Linked DNA regions of Daphnia pulex. The protein of the gene in region 1 interacts with the protein of each later gene in a pairwise test. Links are inferred from orthologs where the notes say so. Each region holds a gene or a part of one and is shown in the gene's direction. Other genes may lie near its edges. The genes, in order: WW domain-binding protein 11-like and growth factor receptor-bound protein 2.

What was found.
Region 2: the proteins of WW domain-binding protein 11-like (region 1) and growth factor receptor-bound protein 2 interact in binary tests that used the Homo sapiens proteins (3 or more experiments, as listed by UniProt). The link is inferred for Daphnia pulex from reciprocal best matches to the Homo sapiens genes WBP11 and GRB2.

The regions. Positions count from the first base shown.
Region 1 is NC_060017.1:96,528-100,453, reverse strand, and holds WW domain-binding protein 11-like, read left to right. Parts: upstream 1-1,393; 5' UTR 1,394-1,489; coding exon 1,490-1,553; intron 1,554-1,744; coding exon 1,745-2,183; intron 2,184-2,245; coding exon 2,246-2,967; intron 2,968-3,032; coding exon 3,033-3,280; intron 3,281-3,386; coding exon 3,387-3,488; 3' UTR 3,489-3,546; downstream 3,547-3,926. Other genes in the region: histone-lysine N-methyltransferase SMYD3-like, read left to right, coding at 1-260; thioredoxin domain-containing protein 9-like, read right to left, coding at 325-581, 648-849, 970-1,078, 1,145-1,212. UniProt on the Homo sapiens protein: Activates pre-mRNA splicing. May inhibit PP1 phosphatase activity.
Region 2 is NC_060028.1:9,115,282-9,119,207, reverse strand, and holds the start of growth factor receptor-bound protein 2, read left to right. Parts: upstream 1-1,183; 5' UTR 1,184-1,579; coding exon 1,580-1,657; intron 1,658-1,744; coding exon 1,745-1,842; intron 1,843-1,913; coding exon 1,914-2,033; intron 2,034-3,218; coding exon 3,219-3,384; intron 3,385-3,461; coding exon 3,462-3,635; 3' UTR 3,636-3,926. Other genes in the region: protein brambleberry-like, read right to left, coding at 34-219, 282-410, 484-792. UniProt on the Homo sapiens protein: Non-enzymatic adapter protein that plays a pivotal role in precisely regulated signaling cascades from cell surface receptors to cellular responses, including signaling transduction and gene expression.

The DNA.
Region 1 (3,926 bases):
AACTTCAGTTGTGGGAAGCGGCAATTCAATATGGAATCCCCCTGATTCAGGCGTACAAGTTATGGTATGGAGAAGAGCATCCCCTAACAGCTATACTGCTATTGAAACTCTTTAAAATTACGTTGCTAATATCAACAACGAATGATTCCGTTGCACAAAAATATTACGAAGAGGCCGCTAAAATACTTGAAATCACCCATGGAAGGGACAGTTCATTTTACCGGCAAGAGGTTAAACCTTTGATTCGTCAATTAAGCTGAATGTGAAATTTATTGAAAGCGAAAATACTGAAAATATCAGTGGAATATGGAGGATAGCTGCAGCTTAATCAGAATCTTCGTCTTCATTTTCTCGAATTGTTTTCTTGTTTTTTATCTTCAGTTTTGATTTTGTAGCTTGGCCAGGTGGAACCAAGAGGTCACCAGAATATTCAATTACATCAGCATGAGCTATCCTCCACTCTAATACTTCTGTAGTAAAGTCATCAGTATTGCCTAATTCACCAAATCCAACAACATAATCCTTGGTTTTTGCATCTTTCACTAATGCCAGTGTTGGCAAAGTTTTAATCCTCAGTCTCTCTAAAAATGGGACCAATCATTATAAGAACTTTAAAACATTTTTGACTAATAATTGATTATAGATACCTGTTAAAAAGGGACATTTTTCAGCATTAATCTTACAGAACTTAGTTTCCATGTGCTTCCTTGCAAGTATATTAAGATGCTTATCAATAACTTTGCAGCGAAAGAAGTCATCTCTGTAGAAGTGGCAAACAAAGTTTGAAGATTTTTTTGCCATCTCAAAGAACTCCTTTTCCTCAGCTATCTCGGTATACTCTCCATGCCCCTTAATAAGAAAACATTATTATCAGTAATTTTCCCAATCAACTGATCTTGAAAGTAAATCCCTCATTATAATGTACAGGATAGGAAAATTAAAGTTAAAAATATAAATCGTTAAAATTACATTGATTTTCCATTGCTGCATTTTCTGCTGCCTCAATTTCATCTCTTGTACTCGTTTCCTCCGAATATCTTCCAAGTCATCTTCCGTCAAATTGTCCAATTTGTCGATTCTTTATGAAGAGGAAATTGATACTATATAATTCTACATGCCGAAAATACGTTGTATGAAATAATACTCAGCATCGAGTTTTTCCTCGGCAGCCTTTAATATCTGATTCTGCAGGAGATTCTGAATTTGTTCCATCTTTGAAATTACAACGGGATAAAGGGATACTGTGTGACTTGACAGAAAATCAAAACGAGGCAAGATGAAAAATTTGACAGGTAAAACAAAACACGAGACAAGGGGATGGGTTTCAAAGCAGACAAAGATAACCAAGGCAACAAGTAATCGGTTGTTTCAGTATCGATAGAGCAGTTAAATCGATAACTACGATTTCACTAGTTTGATTTTTAGCTTGTGTTGAATTGTTGATGTCGTATTTCATCTTGTGTTCGTGAAAATAATAATATAGCTAAAAATGGGGAAACGCTCAATAAATACCACTAAAAGTGGGAAATTTATGAATCCAACAGATCAAGCACGTAAGTTTTTTTTTAAATTTTTATCTCATGCAACTTTCATGTACTAAAGTTTGAAAATTAACATAGTTACTACGGTGGCTTAATACTCGTTATGATCGTGACATTTTAATTGTCTATTGTGAATATCCAATATGATTGAATCACTTAGATGATCTTAATTCGGCATTAACACTTTTAGCTTTTTTTAACAGGAAAAGAGGCCAGGAGACGAGAACTGAAGAAAAACAAAAAGCAAAGGCTGCTCGTTAGGCAGACTGTTTTAAAGGGGAAAGATCCAACTACCATCTTTTCAGAACTTGAAAAAATTGATCAAATGGAATTCAACCCAATTCAATCTGCACCACTTAGTGAAAAAGTGTTAAAGGAAAAGAGGAAAAAGCTAAGGGATACATTAAATAGAATCATGAGACTCTATGAAAAAGAAGAACCTACTCAGTGGACTCAGATCAAAGCAATGGAAGTTCAGTATGAAAAAAGACGAGCTGAACTAATCATCTACTGTGAGTCAGTAAAGCACACTCAAACAGTAAACCTGGAAGAGATCCCCTTGCCAAACCTGGATTCATCAAGTACTTCAGGCTCTTTACTTCCAGCCCCTCCAGGCATTTTAAAGAAAATCAGCAGCTATGGGTAAGTTATTGCTGCAGATTAGAGTAAACAAAGTTTTAATACCCTATAATCTAAATAAATAGATTGTTCCGAAAACCACCTGGTGTTCCTTCTGTTCCACCCCCTGAAATATATGACATTTGGGATGAGGGTGATGGAGCAACAGTGGAACCTGGTGTTCCTGGAATTGACGACGAAGAAGAAGATCTCCCTCCATATCACACATACTACCAATTCATTCGTCCTCCCCTTGAAGATATCGCATTGCCCAAAGACGCTATGGAAGAAGATGCTGAAATGGATGACGACTACGATGAGGACGAAGATGATGATAGCGACGAGGACAGTTCGGAAGCAGCCTCTAAATCGGCTCCAGTAGTTCCCGAGCCCCCTCGACCTACAACACTTCAACAGCGAATGTTAGCCATTGCTGGTCAAGATGTCAACACAGTTATTCAAGAGATGGACTATTTGCATCGCCAAAAAGAAATGAACCGTCAAGTAACTCATGAAACACGAAAGGCGAGGATGGAAGCGGGAGATTTTGACGAAGATCCTTCGACGGATAATAACAAGTACCCTCCGCACATGCCACCTCACCCTTCACAGTTCCCGCGACCTCCGATGATGCCTTCCTATGGACCTTATGGTTCTATGGGCCCACCTCCGCCAATGGGATATGGTGGTTTTGCTCCTCCGCCAATTCCAGGATCGAGACTACCGCCTGGTCCTCCACCTAGAATGCCACAAGGATTAACACCACGTCTGATTCGACCTCCCGGCATGCCTCCCCCACCGCCACCAGGTTAAGCGATTAAAACTAAAAACGTTGTGTCGGAATTATTCATATCTTAATTAATAATCATATAGGTATACGCCCGGGTGCACCATCTATGCTTAGCACTCGTCCACAACTAGGTGCTGGAGCTCCGTCTAAGCCATCGTCGAAACCTACTGCTTCCATTATCGAGGCCAAGCCTCAAATGCGTAATCTAAGCGCAGATTTGACAAGATTCGTTCCTACTACGTTGAAAGTGAAGAAAGATATGCCACCCAAAAAAGATCTGGCCAAATCAAGTGCCAATCCTCATATTGAATGGAGGACTCCTCAAGTTCAGGTATGATATAACTGCTTAGTTTAACAGTAATGTAAAATACCTTGGACGTATATGTGATAGAACATAGAATTACAGATTGTATTACAGAATTTGAATTTTTTCGTAGGTTGCAACCGCCAGCAAACCCGCAACAGTAACTCAACCTCCCGTCAAAACAAAAGACGACGCTTATTCGCAATTTATGAAAGAAATGCAGGGATTTATGTAAGCGATATGTAACTTTTTTTGTTCTTGACTTTTCAATATACGAAACAATCTAGTTCTGACATTTTGGTCGAATTTAAAAAATAGGAATCGCTTAGTAAAACGTTGCCTTTCTTGGATAATCACTTACGCAATTTTTTCGGAATCTTTCTTTAGTTTCTTTCAGCCTCCCTCTGAGAGAAAAGAGACGATCCATATATTTATTTTTTCAAAAAGAAAAATAGGATTCAAGTTCTTTGTTAAAACCCAGAGCAAAGGTAAAGCAGAACTTGCCTTAACGGAAAATATGGGGACACCTGCAAGGTCAAGATGACACTAGAGACACAGATCAACGGACTGCTTCTCAGGGGTAGTTTTCCTTGACCTCAATTTAACTTTCCGTAGAACACCTTGACGAAGTGGGGGGATGGACTTGTCGAAATAAAACATATTGGGGCGTTGG
Region 2 (3,926 bases), on another chromosome or scaffold:
ACAGTTGTGATGAAAATCAATAAAGAAACCAACCTTGAGCTCTCTAATGAATCCCAATTGTTGACTAGAACTGGCCATGAGTTTGTTGACTGTCATTTGAGTCAGTGCTCTAAACTGTTGTTGGCGGGCACCGTAGCACACTGATCTTGCTCTATTGGATAGAATATGGTAGGCATTCCAGGTGTCGGAATCCATGTCAGAAGTACATTCCCTTAAAGTCTAAAAAATATAAACTGGTTAGCTACAACTAGCTGAAGTGATACATTAATTAGAAAACTTGCCATTGAAGAGGAGCATGGGTAGACTCTCCGCCCTTCCAATCTTGATTGGCAGTTTAAAAGATTCACACCCAACTTAGACAAATCTTCCTCTGAGAGATCATTGCAGTCTTGCTTCAATTGAAGGATTAACTATAAACGAGTTCATTAATATTAATGAACAGTGAGATTGTACTTTGAATCAACATCAAAGTACTTTACTTACTTTATGCTGGCAAACATCCAGCTCGCTCAGACTAAGGTCAGTATATTTCTGTGCATCGGCAATGAATTTTTCATCAGCTACAGACAGCTCAAATGGAATATCAGACCTTGCTTGCACAGCACTCTCATCAGGTTCAGAAACTTCAATCTTATCATCTTCTTTTGCTACAGCCATAAGCTTATCAAATTGTTTTTCACTACTCAAAATGTTAAAAGGGGAGCTGTCTCTGCCTAAAATCCAACCTACTAAACTAGAATGACTACCAGTTCCTAGGAGAATTATGGCCACTAAATATAAAGTTATCTTCATTTTTGTAATAATCACAGTGCAATATAAGAGAAAATCATCTGACAATAATTGTATAAGATTGTAAGAGGGTTTGGTCGATAAAATTAGTCAAAAGGAACTGCACGTTGCTTTTCTAAATTCAAGTCCGGACTGGTCTGAATCTCTGGGTCGAGATTCCTTTTGAAAACCATTTGCATTTATTCAAATGAGGCAGATAACGTTGCCACATTGCTTTTTCCAAAAGAATTCGACGGAAATTTAAATATTTAAAATCTTAAAATATTCATCTATTATGTTGTATTATAAAAAATGTATATTCCTGTAATTGAAATAATATTTTAAATAATTTCAGTCATTTGGAAAAAAAATAGTTAGAAAAAATAAAAAACGTTTACAGGCACGCAAGCATTTACCTTTAAAATTCCATTGGGAGAAAAGGACTGGTGACGCTCGTGCGTCAAAGCCAAGAACTAAGTTGTTTCCCAAAATTATGGCTGTCTGGCTTTCGTCGGGCCCCGAAAACAGTGTATAGTTAATCAAACAATCGTGGATACGGATACGTCAGTTGATAGTCAATATTGTCAAACAATTTGTGGGAAATGCTATTCGTTTTTGAGTTTCGAGAAGTGTAATTCGACTTTGAACGAAGTCAAAACATTTTGGTGATTGGCCAACAACCGTTTCACTTGATAAACGTAGCCGTGGTGCACATCCGGCCTAGCCTTGAAAAGGAAATTCCTTCTCTGAAGCTTGTTTTGCCAAGAAATACTTTATCATCTGTGATTTCATAAAACGTGTTATTTTCGAGATGGAGGCCAATTCTAAACATGACTTTAATGCCACTGCTGAAGATGAGCTTAGTTTTCGAAAAGGGCAAGTTCTCAAGGTAAACCAAGCAATGATGCTTTCAACAGAATTTAAGGAATTTTTGCTTATAGCAATATTCTAACCTGTTCATTTGATTCAAATGTAGATTCTGAATATGGAAGATGATCTGAATTGGTATAGAGCAGAATTGGATGGAAAAGAAGGGTTGATTCCTAGTAACTACATTGAAATGAAAAATCATGAGTAAGCCTAGTTGAAATGTTTATGATAAAATAATGCATATTGATTATAACTTGTTGTTTTATTTTCTACAGTTGGTACTATGGAAGAATAACCAGAGCTGATGCAGAGAAACTCTTGGGCAACAAACATGAAGGCGCTTTTGTTGTTAGAGTCAGTGAGAGCTCACCGGGAGACTTTTCCCTGTCTGTTAAGTATGTTATCTAGTTCTTAAAATAACAATGTGATAGATTTTGTTTAGAAACATAGACAGTGTAAATCCTTAACCAAGAGCTCTAGATAGTTTAGAAATGCCCCATAGGAATTCTTCTACTATGTTTGATGTTATTATTTGCCTATTCTCAAATGTTGTTGAAATCTATTTGTGGCATACCAGACTACTTATCATTAGAACATCTGAATGAGATAAGTTGACATCTATTAACTAAGCTTGTAAGTCGTTAACTGCCTAAAACGGGAAGATTTCTCAAAATATTTATGTAGAAATAGCACATTATAAAAACATATTGAGAAATATCGCTTTGCATTCAGATATCCTGATTAGACGCTACACGTACATTTGAAGCGTGAAAAGAATTTCAAACATGCAGGCTTTCATCAGTGTAAAATCAAATATCTTATAATCTCGCTCTCCAAACTGTACGATACAAGTTCTACCTTACTAGGAAGACGCGTTTGAATAGAAAATTAATGAACCGAACGTACAGTTTATTTCTATTTCCCTCAAAGAATCATGGGTATTTGGTTTTCTGTAGAAATTTGATTTGATCACGCAAGAATTCTTTCCAAATGCAGTGCATGAGTCAACCTGATGACGCACACATCCGTTTACATTCCAATTTTATTCACTTCAAAGGTGGAATGAATCTCAATTGTCTATTTTGTTTTACCTTAAAAAAACAAAGACAGCTTGTAAAATTGGAACTCGTGCAGTGACTACCCTTTGCTTAAGTCGTGACTCGTGATTCATGAACCGTCAGTCCTACTGTTTTCAGTAATTAGTTTTATCCTTTTTGGTATTTTATTAGCCTTGTTAGGCGTGTCTAGGGTACATTCTGTTTTCTATCTGTTAGGCCTTTTCGTCAAGTTCCCTTACCACTGAGCCACCGTCCGTAATCAAGCAACTATATATGTGCCTTGAACCGGAGTTTTGCATCATTTTTAGTTTTTACAATTCTCTCATCGCCCTGCTGTGTTATTTATTCCTTCTTGAGGTTTTTGCCCGTTAAGTTGTAGGATGAGTGTGTTTTGTTTATAGCTAAGGAAGCCATCATCCTACTTCCTTGTAGTTCGAAATTAGTTTGAAATTTACACAATACTTTGTTACGTGCATTCTGTGTTAATAGGCTATTCTCTATTTTTTCTTTCTTGTCTCGCAGATGTGGCGATGGTGTCCAGCACTTCAAAGTACTTCGCGATGCCCAAGGGAAGTTCTTTTTGTGGGTGGTAAAATTCAACTCGCTCAACGAACTGGTCGACTACCATCGCTCCACATCTGTTTCTCGGTCTCAGGATATAAAGTTACGAGACATGGTGCCTGAAGAGGTGAGTTACCAGTTGTTCTTTTTTCCATGCCTTTAGGCTCAGGATTGACTAACAATTGTTGTGTGAATTTTCGACAGTTCTTGGTGCAGGCACTATACGATTTCACCCCGCAAGAACCAGGTGAATTGGAATTTAAGCGAGGCGACGTCATAACTGTGACAGACCGTTCTGATCAACATTGGTGGACTGGAGAAATTGGCGCCCGCCGCGGCCTCTTTCCTGCCACTTACGTTGCCCCGTATCATACTTAAAAGGCGAAGGCACTGTTCGTTCGTTTTCTTTTGCTCCTTTTCTTTTCTTCATAAATTTTTCTTCATTTTTTTTTTCTTTTTGTATTAAAGTGGTGCGTCCGTTCTTAAGACTCAAGTTATTTTTGCCGACTTCGAACCTAAACACATTACTAACTTTGATAACAAAACAGTAAAAGTGATGAACAGCTAGGATTGACAGGATTGCATCTCATTTCTCATTGAAAGCAGTTTGTAAAATTGCTTTCTTTTCAGTTTTTTTCCGTTTATGTTGTTCTAACCTCGATTTTCGAC